3 linked regions of the Canis lupus familiaris genome follow. The protein of the gene in region 2 interacts with the protein of the main gene of each other region in a biochemical or structural test. Links are inferred from orthologs where the notes say so. Each region holds a gene or a part of one and is shown on either strand. Other genes may lie near its edges.

Evidence for each region. The genes of interacting proteins can lie anywhere in the genome.
Region 1: the proteins of CTSB (region 2) and CSTB form a complex in vitro, tested with the Homo sapiens proteins (2 studies listed by BioGRID). The link is inferred for Canis lupus familiaris from reciprocal best matches to the Homo sapiens genes CTSB and CSTB.
Region 3: the proteins of CTSB (region 2) and CSTA form a complex in vitro, tested with the Homo sapiens proteins (3 studies listed by BioGRID and IntAct, with this or other methods). The link is inferred for Canis lupus familiaris from reciprocal best matches to the Homo sapiens genes CTSB and CSTA.

Annotation. Positions count from the first base shown.
Region 1 is NC_049252.1:37,607,240-37,611,926, forward strand, and holds CSTB (cystatin-B), read right to left. Parts: upstream 3,263-4,687; 5' UTR 3,170-3,262; coding exon 3,104-3,169; intron 906-3,103; coding exon 804-905; intron 625-803; coding exon 496-624; 3' UTR 214-495; downstream 1-213. UniProt on the Homo sapiens protein: This is an intracellular thiol proteinase inhibitor. Tightly binding reversible inhibitor of cathepsins L, H and B.
Region 2 is NC_049246.1:26,190,602-26,195,393, reverse strand, and holds the start of CTSB (cathepsin B), read right to left. Parts: upstream 3,273-4,792; 5' UTR 3,164-3,272; intron 1-3,163. UniProt on the Homo sapiens protein: Thiol protease which is believed to participate in intracellular degradation and turnover of proteins. Cleaves matrix extracellular phosphoglycoprotein MEPE. Involved in the solubilization of cross-linked TG/thyroglobulin in the thyroid follicle lumen.
Region 3 is NC_049254.1:26,109,954-26,114,797, reverse strand, and holds the start of CSTA (cystatin-A), read right to left. Parts: upstream 3,263-4,844; 5' UTR 3,058-3,262; coding exon 2,992-3,057; intron 1-2,991. UniProt on the Homo sapiens protein: This is an intracellular thiol proteinase inhibitor. Has an important role in desmosome-mediated cell-cell adhesion in the lower levels of the epidermis.

The sequences.
Region 1 (4,687 bases), on a different chromosome or scaffold from region 2:
TCGCCGTGATCTTGGGCGGCTCCCCCGGGGCTCAGCTCTGCGGGTGGAAGGGGTGGCCGGCCAGCTCAGGCCAGCGCGTGACCCAGGAGGGGCCCCACACGGCGCAGAGGTCACGAGGCTGTAAAACAGCCACATAAACACGTCACTCGCACCTCTTGATGCTTCTGGATGTGATTACAGTTTCAGATGAAAGAAAACACCAAAACAAAGGAGGAAATTCGCAAAGATCTACAAATATGTATTTAAAGAGACTATAAGCCCTCGATGAACGTAATGAAGGTCAGTGACTGTGCTGACTTTGTCTCGCCCACGGGAGTTAGGAGCAGGGACCAAGACAGGTGCAGGACAGCCTCTCCCTAAGTGGCCCTGCAAAGCAACAGCATTGGCTTTTTTTTTTTTTTTTTTTTTTTTTTCAGCATTGGCTTTTGATCCCAGACACGCCCAGAGAGGACGGAACCACACGGAACCACGTGGACGGGCCCGCTCAGAGCGGAACTAGAAGTACGCCAGCTCGTCGTGCTTGGCTTTGTTGGTCTGATAGCTGGACAAGGCCAAGGGCTTGTTCTCATGCGGGAGACTCTGAAATACTCGAAGGTGCACAAATTCGTCATCGTCAACTTGGACCTGGAATGGGGTGCGGTCGGGGGAGGGGAGTGAGGGGCTGGCAGGACCTCTGACCCCACGTGCCCCTGCTGGGCCAGCCTGCATGGTGTAGGCCCTGGAGTCGGGGAGGGGGAGCCCTCCAGGTCATCCCCCCCCCGCCCCCGGCCGCCCCCCTTCCCCACTGCAGCTCTGCCGCTCACCTTGATGAAGTAGTTTGTCCCCGCGACCACCTGGCTCCTGAATGTCACGGCCTTAAAAGTAGTGTACTTCTTATTTTCCCGCTCTTCCAGCTGGGCCTTCACCTGGGGGCCGGGAGAGAACGTTAGCGGCCTCCCTCCCGCGAGGGGAGCTCACAGCTTACCTGCTCACGTTAAACACTGTGAACAGTTCCCGTGCGGCCCCTTAGGTTTTCTCCACCACCACTGACTGTTCTTGATCGCGGAGGGACGCGGTCCACGAAGCGCAGAACACGACTCCCTCGATCTGCCCGTTTCCATGGTGGTGCCTCAGCTTACCTCCGCCCTTCCAGCTCCACGAACGTCACGGGGTCATTTAACATTCTCACCACGACAGCACTATATGCAGGTTTCCACCCGTCTTCCCTTTTACTTAACCCTCGGACGGGTCGCTTGAAAGGCTGTGTGTGATTTTTTTTTTTTTACTCTTAAAAATTGAGTAAAATGTTTCAAAATTTTCAAAATTTTCAACAAAATACAATCTTTAGTTGAAAGGTACTCTCCCTTCTTGTAGATGTGCCCCGGTTCTCTGCACCATTCCCCTACTGGGGCCACTACAGCTGTTCCTCAACGTCTCCCACAACACAGGATGCAGCGGATTCTGGGCTCTGCAGGTAAAAATCACTTTACTGATCTTTAGACGATTTCTTTAAGAAGCAGAGCCTTTGGGCACAAGCTGATCCTGATCATTTGTGTCAAAGAGCAGTCATACTTTTGGGTCAATGTTGTTTTCCAAAGCTGTGACCTTTTAGGAACTGAGCATCTTTATGGCAAAAGGAAAACAGGTTTGCCTTTTTTTAAAAAATAATTTTTTAAAGATTTTATTTATTTATGAGAGAAGAGAGAGAAGCAGAGACACGGGCAGAGAGAGAAGCAGGCTCCCTGTGGGGCGCCTGATGCAGAACTTGATCCCAGGACCCTGGGATCACACCATGGGCCAAAGGCAGATGCTCGACTGCTGAGCCACCCAGGCGCTCCCCCCCCCCCCCCCCCCCCCCGCTTATAAATTTAAAATCTAAGCTACTTTACAAGTGCTCTAGCTGCCTGCTGGGTTGACAGTAGGCCCTGGAGTGCACAGACTTTGTGTTGGAGGGACAGGACTAGTTCCAGAGGGTTGTGGGGTTTTGGGTCATCGGGCTGCAGGGCACAGGCTAGCCCCTGGGAGACGGGGTCGGGGGTGTGTGTGTGTGGGGGGGTCACCATCATGACACAGGTGGGTCACCATCCAGTGCAAACAAAGGCTGTGTGTGTGGCCCTCAGGGAGGTGCCCCTGCTGGGACAAAGGGACAGGAGGCTGGCCTCTGGGCAGCACGGGGCAGGCTGGTCACCGTCCTGCTGCTCCTGTGCTCTCTCTGTGTAACCGCCTCCCCACCTGGGCCTACCTGTGTCTGAATTCTCACCTGGAGCCCCCTTGTTTGGGCAAAGCACCATGCTAGCTCTGCAGTGAACGGGCTCTGCAGGCAGCTTACAAAGCTGGGGCCCAGGGGTTTGGGAAGGAATCACCTGTCCCTTCGCCTGCTTCAGGGGGTGGCGGCAGGGATGGTAAGAAAACCCCAGCGGAGGTGAGGGAAGGGGCAACGTGGCAGCCTCGACGATGCAGAAGGGCAGCTCCGGGCACCGGTACTGACCCGGGAGGGGGCTCGGAGTCCCGGCTGGGCTGGGGGGCTGGGGGGCTGCCAGTCAGCAGTCAGCAGCCTGCAGGGACGGGCCTGGGCGGAGGCGGGGGAGGGCACAGGGCAGGACCAGGACAGGACCGGGGTGCGGGGCGCTCCTGGGGGCGCTCCTGGGCGGGTGCAGAATGTCCCCTGAGCCGGGTCGGGGTGGCCGTTCGCGCAGGCCGGCCCGCTCGGAGGGCGCCTGGCTGCCTCAGTTTCTCCCAGTGGCAGCACCGCGTCAACACGGGCGGGAGCGGCTGGCCTGAGAGCGGCGGGGGAGGAAGGGCAGGGCCTGGGCCCGGGGCCGCGGGGAGGCGGGGCTCGCGGCAGTCACCGCAAATCCCTCATTTTCACGGGTCCCGTGGGGGTGAGTCACCGGCCCGGGCGGCGGGGAGGGGGAGGGGGAGGGGGAGGAGCGGGGCGGGGGCGGGGGTGGGGTGGGGGAGGGTGTCGGGCCGGGGCCGGGGCCGGGGCCGGGGCCGGGGCGGGGGCGGGGGAGGGTGTGGGGCCGGGGTCCCGCCTTCGCCCGGCTCCGCGCCCGGCTCTGCACCTGCGGCGTGCGGGAGGCCCCGAGGCCCAGCGGGAGCGGCCCCGCGCGCTGCCGCCTACCTGGTCGGCGATGGCCTGGGTGTCGGCCGTGGCGGGCTGCGAAGCGCTGGGCGCCCCGCACATCATGCTGGCGGCGGCGGCGGCGGCGGGAGCGCGGACGGAGGCGCGGGCGGAGGACCGAGCGGCGGAGCTCAGCGGAACCCCGAGCCCCGGAACCCGCTCCCCTTAAAGCGGGCGGCGGTCACGTGGGGCGGGCGGGGCGGGGCCAGGAGGGGGCGGGGCCACGAGGGGCGGAGTCGGGGCGGGGCCAGGAGGGGGCGGGGCCACGTGGGGGCGGGGCCACGAGGGCGGAGTCGGGTCCCCTGCTGCCCCACCCCCGCCCCCGTGCGCCCCAGGCGGCCGCCCCCGGGGCCCTCGCCGCGCGCACCGTGTGGGCGCTCGTGGTCCTGCCCTGTAGGGACGTCCCCGAACCGCGGCCTCGGTGTCCTCCGGTGGCCGGTCGGGCGCGGTGGGGGCGGTCCCCCTCGGGGTGGGCTCTGCAGGGGACGGTCTGGAGGCGCCCCCCGTGCAGCGTTGGGGCGGGGTGGGGGCGCCCGGGGGAGCGGGGAGCTGCCCGGGAGGTGAGAGCTTGCCCCGGGCCCAGGGGAGAGAAGCCCGCGCGGCCGGGAGCTGGGGGAGCGGGGGGGGGGGGCAGGAGCTGCAGGGGGGCCGAGTCCAGGGTGCGGCCTCAGGGCGCTCTGCATTCAACCGGCCCCGCCCCCCGCTTGTGCCAGCGGATCTGGACAGTCACCCGCATGTGACCCAGAGGCACAGGGAGGGCGGGGGGGGGGGGGGCGCTGGACACAGGAGGCTCCAAGCTGTCCCGGCAAGGGAGGAGCTGGCTCCCGGGGCTTCGGCCGGGCTGGGCTGGGGGCTGCAGGGCTTGTGGTCAGATGGAGGGCATTTAGGGCAAGACCTGGGTGAGAATTAGATTCAACCACCCAGGGATGGGGGAGGGTCCCACACTTTATTCGGGGCGGGGGTAGGGGCCGTGCTAGGAGCTGTCAGGACAGGACTGGTTTTTGAGAAAGGGCCGGGCCCCTGCCCCCCCATGGCCCACCCCTCGGTGGCCGCGGGCGTCCTCTCCCTGGGTGCTGACTCTGCAGGAGCCCACCCGCTCTGCCGGGTGCTGGGCTGACCTGGAGCCGCTGCCAGGAGCCTCCCCCGAACAGGTGTGTGGGGAGACAAGCCTTTCTGGTACCTGCTGGGGCAAAGCCCGGTTTGTAACTTTAGGAAAGGACGGAGGACAAGGTGGGAGGACAAGTGGTTGAGCCCGGGGCGGGGCGCTGAGGAGGAGATGGACAACCTGTTCACAGCCGCATGAATGTGCCACTGAGTCAGATTTGATTCCATAAAAATAGAAAGCAAAGCATCAGAAATTAATTGTCAACGTGGGGAAAGGCAGGCGGTTCTCTGGCTTTTCCTTGTCACATGGCTCAGTGGGCTTGGCCCTCCTCCCCTCCCCCTCCTCTCTCCACCCTGCCCAGCAGGTTTTGTTCCCTCTTGCATTGGGTTAAAAAGAAAACCACAGGCCCAAAATGGAGCCTTTAGGTCACGTCACCAGGCCGGGACCTCATGCCTAACCTAGCCACAACCTGCCCCAGA
Region 2 (4,792 bases):
CTGGAGACCCAGGATTGAGTCCTGCGTCAGGCTCCCTGCATGGAGCCTGCTTCTCCGCCTCGCTCTCTCTGTGTCTCTCATGAATAAATAAATCTTTAAACAAAAACAAAACAAAACAAAAACTATAAACACTGCGATCAACGACAAAAATACAAATCCTCACTAATCAATGACTTCTGAGAGCAAAGAATGACTTGAATTCCCGGTCCTAAAACTTCAAGCAGCAACACCGTTTCAAACGTATCAGGTTGCTAAAAATTGAAATCTGATAATATCTAATGGTGGTAAAGGAGGAATAGGTACCCTCAAACACCGCTGGTAGTACATATTGGTAAAACTTCACTGGACAGCATTCTGTAAGTATCTAGCAAAACAGAAGATGCACATGTCTTATGACCCAGCAACTAACTGGACTTCTGCTTTTGCCCTGGAGAAACACTCAGGGGTGCCTGAGAGATATAAGGATTTACTGCAGCGCTGCCACAAACAACGAGAAAGTAAAAACCACCTGTCTCTCTGTAAATACTCTACGTTTGGTATGAATGAATGAACAAGACCTTCGTGTATCAACATAAATAATAAAGCTCATGAACAGGCAATGGAAAAGGATACAACCAGCACAATTACAGTTAATAAATTTTAATAGCATTGTTCATGGATTGATACAAAAGTATTAAAAGCACAAAAAAGAAAGACTGAGGGTGGGGCACCTGCAGTGGCTCAGTGGTTGAGTGTCTGCCTTCGTCTCGGGTTGTGATCCTGGGGTCCTGGACTCAAGTGCCGCAATGGGCTCCCTGTAGGGAGCCTGCTTCTCCCTCTGCCTGTCTCTCTCATGAATAAATAAATAAAATCTTAAAAAAAAAAAAAAGGACTCAGGATTTATTGCACACACCCCCTTTCTTAGGCAGCTTCTGGAGTGTGCTCGGAGCTGAAACGAAGAGGTGAGGATATGGGATGGGGTACAAACACTGCTGACTGCCGCCCAGCGTCCACTGAGTACAGTACACAGCTGCACATGCCCCCACTACATTCATCTACTTGTCAACCCCCACCCCTCTCTGCATGTGAAGCTGAACCATAAAGTACCTGATCGCCACCCTTCTTGATCTAGAAAAATTCCCAAATATCATCTTAACATTTTCCTTGTGTCAAACTATCTAAAAAAGGCTGCAGACGTTGAGCCTTTGCTCCGAAATAGTCCAGTCCTTCCCTCCGGAAGAAGGGGATATCCCACACAATCACGAGGCCTTACCACATTTAAGAAAATTACCCAATGGACACTTTCTGACTCCCCTGAATGTGCTCTCTCTTGCTTCCCAGCCCAACAGAGATACAAAACATCTCTTACCCCTAAAATGTGTGCCAACTTACTACCCCAACTCCCAGGTCCTCTAATGGAGGAAAAGAAAGGACCAGTCTCTGAGAAAGGCCTCAGTTCAAGCTGCTGAATCAGCAGCACCTGGGCAGGTTTATCCTGAGGCTAAAGGGCTCCCACCCTCACCACCTGACCAGTCGGGAAACCAGCAGGGGAGTTAGTGGAGCCAGGGCTGGGCTGGCTTGCAAAGCCCCCAGATAAGGAATCTACATCCTTCCACTGCTGAGTGGCAATAACCCAGCTCTGGGACAGAGCTGCCCAAAAAGATGTGAGGGGAAACTTTCTCCAGGGCACCGTCAAAACCCTCTCTTTGGGAAAACCACACAGGGTGTGTGGGGGGATGCAGCTCAGCCCCTTCCTATATAAAGCTCAAGGGCTCTAGGTCACTATCACCAGTGCCAACAGGAAATAAGTCTCAGGGCGCCTGGCTGGCTCAGTCAGTAAAGCATGTGACTCTTGATCTCAGGATCCTGAGTTCAAACCCCACGTTGGGCACAGAGCCTACTTTACAACAAAACAAAACAATTCTCCATTATTTAAGGATGTTATGGAAGAAAAGCAGCCCCTACCAAACCAGACAGCCTCCTAAGCCTCTTCACTTTCCTATCATTCTCAAACTATAGAGTCAACTAGATAAATGCATCCCAGCTGCATTTCTGTCCGGTGGATGCACTGAGGATCAGTTTTTTCTAAGGTAACTAAAGATGCTAGCTGTCCATTTGAACCCCTCCAGCTCCCCCTCCCACCGGGTGTGAAGGACTGGCGGAGGGATGCCGGCGGCGGGGGTCCAGGTGCCTGAGGAAGAGAATGACCTAGGCCCACAAAGGGGCAAATCCATTTCACATCTAATTGGATGGCCTGCTGAGCCCGCCAGACTGTTACCCCTAAATGCTCCCCATATGCTGCTCCCTTTCGCAGACCTCCGGGGTCATTAACTAAAGGAAGAGCTGAGGCCTCAGGGTCTCTGCCCTGCTTTCCCCTCTCCCAAACAACCCGGGCCTATGTAAGGCTCAGTCAAGAAGTAAGGAGTGGCATCTTCCCCTTCCACCCCAGCCTCCCGGGGAGGGGAACTGGGGCTTCCAATGCCTAGACTCCTAAGCACTGCTCAGTTTCTCTTCCCATCAGTGGATCTAACTCATCATGTGGCCTCCACCCTACACCACCTAGTTCCAGGTTCGTTTTCTGGTCTCTGTCCTCTGGGGTCCCTGGAACTGTGTGTTCGGTTGTGGGCTGAGAATTGCCCAAACCCTATGAAATAAGAAAACACCTAGAACAGACGTAGGGAGACACTATTATCTCGGCAATTTCCTGAGGAAACTGAGGCCCAGAAGCTCACCAGGGGCCGGGGAGCTAGATTCTGGCCGAAAGTCACCGGGATCCCAGCCCAGCGCTTCCTGGCAGGACTACGCAGGCCCCCACGCCGGAGCCGGAGCCGGAGCCGGAGCCGGAGCCGGGCTGGCCGCGGACACAGCCCCGGGAGGAGGCGGAGGCGGAGGCCGGGGTCGGGGCTGGGGTCGGGGTCGGGGCCGGGGTCGGGGCCGGGGTCGGGGCCGGGGCCAGGCCGCCCACCCGGAGTTGGGGGCTTCTTGCTTTTCTCACCGCGATGACTTTCCGGAGCGCGCGGGCTGCCACCCCCGCCCCCACCCCGCCTCCTCGCCCGCCCCGGGATGCCGCGGGGCCGCACAGGGGCCCGGGCTCCCGGCCTCCCCACCTCCCCGCCTCCCCGCCTCCCCGCCAAGGTCACCTCCACCGCGGGGGCGCCGCGCCCGGCCGCCCGCCCGCACTCACCGAGCCCGCCGCCGAGAGCCTGGGCCTGCAGCCTGCGAGCCGGGCCCGCCAGCGCCGAGCCGAGCAGCCGCCCTGGCTTCCCGGAGCCGCCCCGCGCCTAAGTACCGCCCGCCCCGCCCCGCCGCGCCCCGCCCCGCCCCGCGCGCCCGCCCACTCGCCACGTGACCGCCGCCGGCCCCGGCCCGCCCCGCTCCCCCTCCGCCCTCCGCCCTCCGCCCCGCCCCGGCCCGGCCCGGCTCCGCACCCCTCCACCCGCCCCCGCACCCCGCCGCCTCCGCCCCGCACCCCCTCCGCCCTGCACCCCTCCGCCCCGCACCCGGACCCCCGCCGCCCTCCGTCCCGGCCCCGCACCCCCATCCCTCCGTCCCGGCCCCGGCCCTGCACCCCCGCCGCCTCGCACCCCTCCGCCTTCCGCCCCCTCCGCCCCCCCCCCCGCACCCCTCCGCCCTGCCCCTGCACTCCCTTCCGCCCTCCCTCTGCCCTCCGCCCGCACCCCGCACCCCCTCCGCCCGCACCCCAGGCACCCACGCCCCCACGGACCCTGCGCTCGCCTCTGCTCCCGGAGATCCCGCTGGGGGTGGGCTTGGCCCGGGGAAGAGGGACTCGGAGCCTCGGGCCAGTGGGGAGCGAGGGGAGATGAAGGTGGCCCGAAGGGTCTCCATCCAACCTGGACAGAGTCCCAGGGGCCGCCGCCGCCTGAAAGCAGCGGTTCGAAGCCTGCGGGATCCCTGCTTGCAGGAGGGGGTGACTGTCCCTCATTTCATCCATTCAGAAACCACTGAGTTGGGGGTATCATGATAGCAGGCCTCCCAGGGGAGCCTTTAGAGGCTCCTTTAGCGACGATAGTCTAAGAACGTGCCTATTAAAGCCTCCAGTTATGTAATAATAAATGGGTCTGACTTTCAGGACCTGCTTCAGGATTTCTAGAGAAGGACCTTAGGGGCAGAAATCCGTTTGGAAGAGGGGTCCCAATAGGCCTGTCCTAAAGGGACAGTATTTTACTTGGAGTTTATTTGGGGAGTGCTTACGGACGACGGTGGGGTGGCTCAAGACTCACTATCTCCATGAATCCCCGTGTTTCGAATCCTTCTGACAACTTTGCAACGTTGGCATGATCCCAGTTTTTCTTCCAGAGGCTCAGGAAAGTCTAGTATTTCATCCAGTGGCTTTTGGTAATAATAAGAAAGCTATAGGCCTGGTGGACTCCCAGAAGCCCTGGTGATGTAGTTTTTTTGTTTTTGTTTTGTTTTTGGGTTTTTTTGAGTAGTTCAGTCCGGAGACAGCAGACAAGAATTCTTGAGATATCTTTGGTGCAAAAAAAGTGATACTAAAGCATGGAGACATGACCTGTGAGGACAAAGAGCTGCTGCCCCAGGATTGTGGGGAGCTAGCCAGGGTTGGGTGAAGTAAAGAAAAGGGAAGTTCAAAAGGGACTTTCATATGCTAAATAAGACTCTTTTTTTTTTTTTTTTAAGATTTATTTATTCATATGAGAGAGAGAGACAGGCAGAGACACAGGCTGAGGGAGAAGCAGGCTCCATGCAGGGAGCCTGATGTGGGACTTGATCCCCGGACTCCAGGATCACGCTAAAGAAGACTCTTGGATTCCTGGAGGACCTTGCTATTGTC
Region 3 (4,844 bases), on a different chromosome or scaffold from region 2:
TCCTTAGGACCACCTCAGATCATACTAAATGTATAACCACCAACACCTACTTATTTGCCTGGCTCTGACTGGGCACCTAACTAATTCTATAATCTTGGAGGTATTGATTAAATTTCTTCACCTAAAGGTGGTTTTGGTAATACCTGCTTCTTGGGGTTGTTTGTGGGGAGATAAACTTTATCATTGATAGGTAAGTGCTTCCTAAACTGATCATTCCTCTGCCTTCTAATACATAATTGGGAATTGTTCCCTAAGGTTTTCCTGTGAGAGCAGTGCCAAATGATAACTGGGAACTTAATACCCCAGGAGCTGAATTACTACACAGTAATTATTCACCTGGAAGTTAGGAGCTTTGATGGGCAATCTCTAATGTCCTTCCTGGTTACAGACCTACAATTTAAAAAATGTTCCTAACTGGAGATTGTTTTATTATTATGTTCCAGTTATCTTGACTTCTCTAAATGGACTGTAAATCCCTTGAGGGCAGGGGCCAAGTCTTAAAGTCCTTATGCATCTTCTACAACATTTAGCACAATGCTGGACACCTTAGAGATATTCAAGAAATGATTTGCTGATATTCATTTCTCAAATTGATTTAAATCTGAGGCTTACTGCTTGCACAGATAAGGCAACTTTCCATACCATGTATTTCCCTCAACTCTCATGCTTCTCTATGTTCCTGCCACTGTACAGGGGAAAAGGCAGAAGGTCAAAAATCTGAAGATAGTCTAGCTTCTTAACTAGGCAGATATTAATCTCTCTGAATCTCAGTTTGAAATCTTATGTGAGAAATGGACATGATGATTTCCTTCCCTGCTCCAGGGGTTATGAAGATCAAAGGAGAGGTCGCATGGAAGATAGGGCTTTTGAAACTTCAAAGCAACTTTCCGGGGTGATGTAGCTATTGCTTTTTTTTTTTTTTTTTAAGATTTTATTTATTTATTCATGAGAGAGAGAGAGAGGCAGAAACACAGGCAGAGGGAGAAGCAGGCTCCATGCAGGGAGCCTGACATGGGACTCGATCCTGGGTCTCCAGGATCACACCCCAGGCCGAAGGCGGTGCTCAACCGCAGGGCCACCGGGTCTGCCCTACAGCTATTGTTAATACCAAGCTCTCATTCTACCTCCTTGGCAGGGCTGGGGCCTGAGGTAAGCAGGAAGAAACACATTTTCAAATTAGTTTCATAATTTAAGATGTGGCTCACAGATGGATGTTTTTTTAACAATGCAAGGCCTTCTTATAGCTTCTTATTAAAAGAAAAATTATTCTTCTAAAGAAGATAGGCTTTTTAAAAGTCATTAAAATTTTCTGCACACTCTCTATAAACGAAATCTCAGTTATTTCCCCATTTCCCTTACAGCTCTGGTCCCTAGAGAGTCTCAGGGGGAGTTTCCAGGGTCATAGGTGAAGCAAAGATTTGAAGCAAATACCTGTGATGCCTCACCTATGCATATTTCTTTCTTGTTTTCAAGTCATTGTTATGCACATCACCTTATGTAGTTCTTACAGCACGGAGATCAGCAGAGCAAGAAGGTGATCTTCATCTCATAAGTAGAATTGAGAATTTTTTTGCAGTGCTCAGCATTTATTTATTTATTTATTTATTTATTTATTTATTTATTTATTTATAAAAGATTTATCTATTTATTTTAGAGAGAGAGAGCAAGGGGAAGGGCTTTAAAAGGAGAGGGAGAGACTCTTAAGCAGACTGTGTGCTGAGCTCAGAGCCTGACGTGACCTGAGCTGAAACCAAGAGTCAGAGGCTCAACCAACTGCACCACCAAGCACCCTCTGTGCTCTGCTTTTAGAAAGCCCATCTCCCATAGGCCTCTAGAATATCATGTATCTCCAGTCCTGTAGGCCACGAGGTCATGGACAGCAGCATAAACATCTCTTGGGAGCTGGTTAGAAATGCAGGCTCTCAGCCCACCGTACCATATCTGCATTTGAACAAGGCCCTCAGGTAATTTATGTGTACATTGACTTTTGAGAAAACTGAACTGATACAGGAACTCAAATAAAGGTATTAATGACTCAATATTACCCATTAAAGAAAGAAAAGCTACAAAGTATATGTTTTTTAAAAGAACTCTTGAAAGGGAAAGATTTATCCCCAAAGAATGTAGAATTCCAGGCATCCAATCTCTGGGGAGCACTCCAGAGCCCTAACATAGAGATCCTATCTCTTTCACTTACACAAGAAGTTGATCTTGTTGGCCAGAGTCATAGAATGAAGTTTCACAGAGAAAAAACAAGGAACGATACAAGAAAATAGGGGAACAATTTAAAAACCTAAAATAGTAACTTATATATATTTTCTTTTCATAAAATATGCAGTATAATAAAATTTTATCATATAGATGATAGCCAGTGAAACAACACTTAGAAAAATATATCAACTTACTAAAAACATTGAGTTCTGTTTTCACCATAATCAATTTTGGAATCACCATAGACTATGCCACGCCTCTTTCCTACTAGTTTAATCATCTTCTAAATATGAAGAGACTGAAATATTTTCTATTAGGCAAATTGGCAGGAAGTGTGTAAGTGGATTGTCTTCGCAATATTGTTCTTCCTTTAACCCATTTAAAAAAATCTCCCTGCAGAGCGTGTGAAGTCTAGTTCGTCAAATTGTTAACAACTTCAGACTTTAATTACATGTTGGCTCCATTTGGTAAGATTAGAAGCTTCAACAGACTGAATTAGTAATCCTAGAATCATACATTGTAAGCCTATAAAGATGAGCCAATATAAATTCTTTTATTAATGGGGAAACTGAGGCTCAGAGAAGGGATGTTACTTGCTCAAGATCACTCTCATAGGATTATTAGAGGTTTCATCTGAAAAAGTTTTTAGTTGTAGGGAAGGCTGAACAAAACCCCACATTTCTCAGTGTTCTGGTTTTCAAGTTCACCCACACGCTTAAGACGGCCCACCTAGGAACCAAGATATTAGATCAATCCTTTTCATGAGAGACATCAACTCACCTCATTAGCAATCTCCTGGACTTCTGGAGTGGCAGGTTTGGCTTCAGTTAAGCCTCCAGGCATCATTTTGGCTAATTGCTTCTTTGCTAGGCAGGATGCTGGAACTGAAGTGATCCAGTAAGCGTGGAGACTCTGGTTTTTAAAGAGGGTGTTGTTGCTCAAACAAGCTCCGCCTCCAGAAAGTTTTCTTTTTCACAAAGAGCAAAAAGGCACAAGGAAAATGAATATGTCTTGAAGCAAGCCATGGTGCTTCCTCAACAGAATATGCCATTAGGGGTTTGGGAGAATGAGGGTTGGATACAAATGGGTGTATCCAGGGAGCAACGTCGTCGCGGGGAGTCAGACTTCTCTGCATTCTCTTAGACAATAGTTTCATCCTGTTGCATCTGAGGAATGAAATCTGGAGCCACAACCAGTTTCCCAATGCTTTAAAACCTCCAATACAAAATTTTATACTTTAAAGGTATATTTATTTATTTATTTATTTATTTATTTTTTTAAAGGTATATTTATTAATAACATCAAGGCCAATTGTTTAGAGTTTACTTGACTTTATAAAGAAAGTAAAAGGGTCTTTCTGGAGAACTTTGGTTGGATATTTGTATTTTCCTTTTTCTTTTTCCTTCCTTCCTTCCTTCCTTCTTTCTTCTTTTACATTTCTAGAACTGCAGAAAAATGCAAAGAATAAAACAAGAAGCACCTATATTTCTATCACCCAGATGTAAAACTTTTAACGCTTTATCTTACCTTACTTCCCTTTTTTCTTTTTCTTTTCGTAGTTGTTTTTTAAGAAATATAATATTACTAGCCTCTCATTCCCACTTCCCCCTAACTTTGCCCTCCACAGAGGTAAAATTCACTGTGGGTTTGGAATCCTTTTAGCCCACTTTATATATTTACTTAATGTGTTTTTAAAAATTTACTTAAGTTGTATGCTAAACACATACTGTCTATATACTTTTTTCTGCTCAACATATTTTTGAGTTGAAACACAGATAGATCAATCTAATTGATTTCCTTTAAAGTTATCCTATGATAGATTTATCTATCATCTATTCTAACCGCTATATGCTATTCCACATTTTATATACTCATTCCCCTACTGATAAAGATTTGAATTATTTCTAGTTTTTTTACCCTTATCAATAATATTGCATTTTTTTCCTTTTGTACATGTGTGATGGCTTCTGCAGGGAAATTATCTAAAAGCAAAGTTGCTGTTTTATGTGGATATTTATCTGCCTTATTTTATTCAATTTTTGGAGTATATGACACACAATAAAAATGTTCAAAAGGAACAAAAGAGTTTATTTATTTATTTTTAAGAGTATATAATATAAGGAATTCTTCACCCACTCAATTCCATAGCCACCCTTTTATTCTCTAGAGACTACTGTCATGAACTTCTGTATCTTTTAGAGATATTCTTTACATGTACAAATATATAAATACTTAACTACACACATACATATGTGTGTATATACTTTTCTTCTATAAATGGTACAAATGGTATCCTACCACATAACCTATTATATACTTTGCTTTATCCCCAACAATATATTTTGGAGACTGTTTTATATTATTATATTCTACATTAATACTTTCATATTATAATTAATTAATATGTAATATATTTTATAAATTATATATTAGAAAGGTACTTTATTCTTGATAAAGTTTGGCAGGTGCTTGACAAATATTTGGAGGTAGGTAGGTGTTTTACTGGATAATCTAAGGAGTGCTATGCAGATGGATGTCCATGGAATGCCCTCATGCATGTACTGAGAAAAACAGCAACTGTGAATGACATAGTGCTCACTTAAGAGGCCACAATCATCTTAGCACTTAGCTCT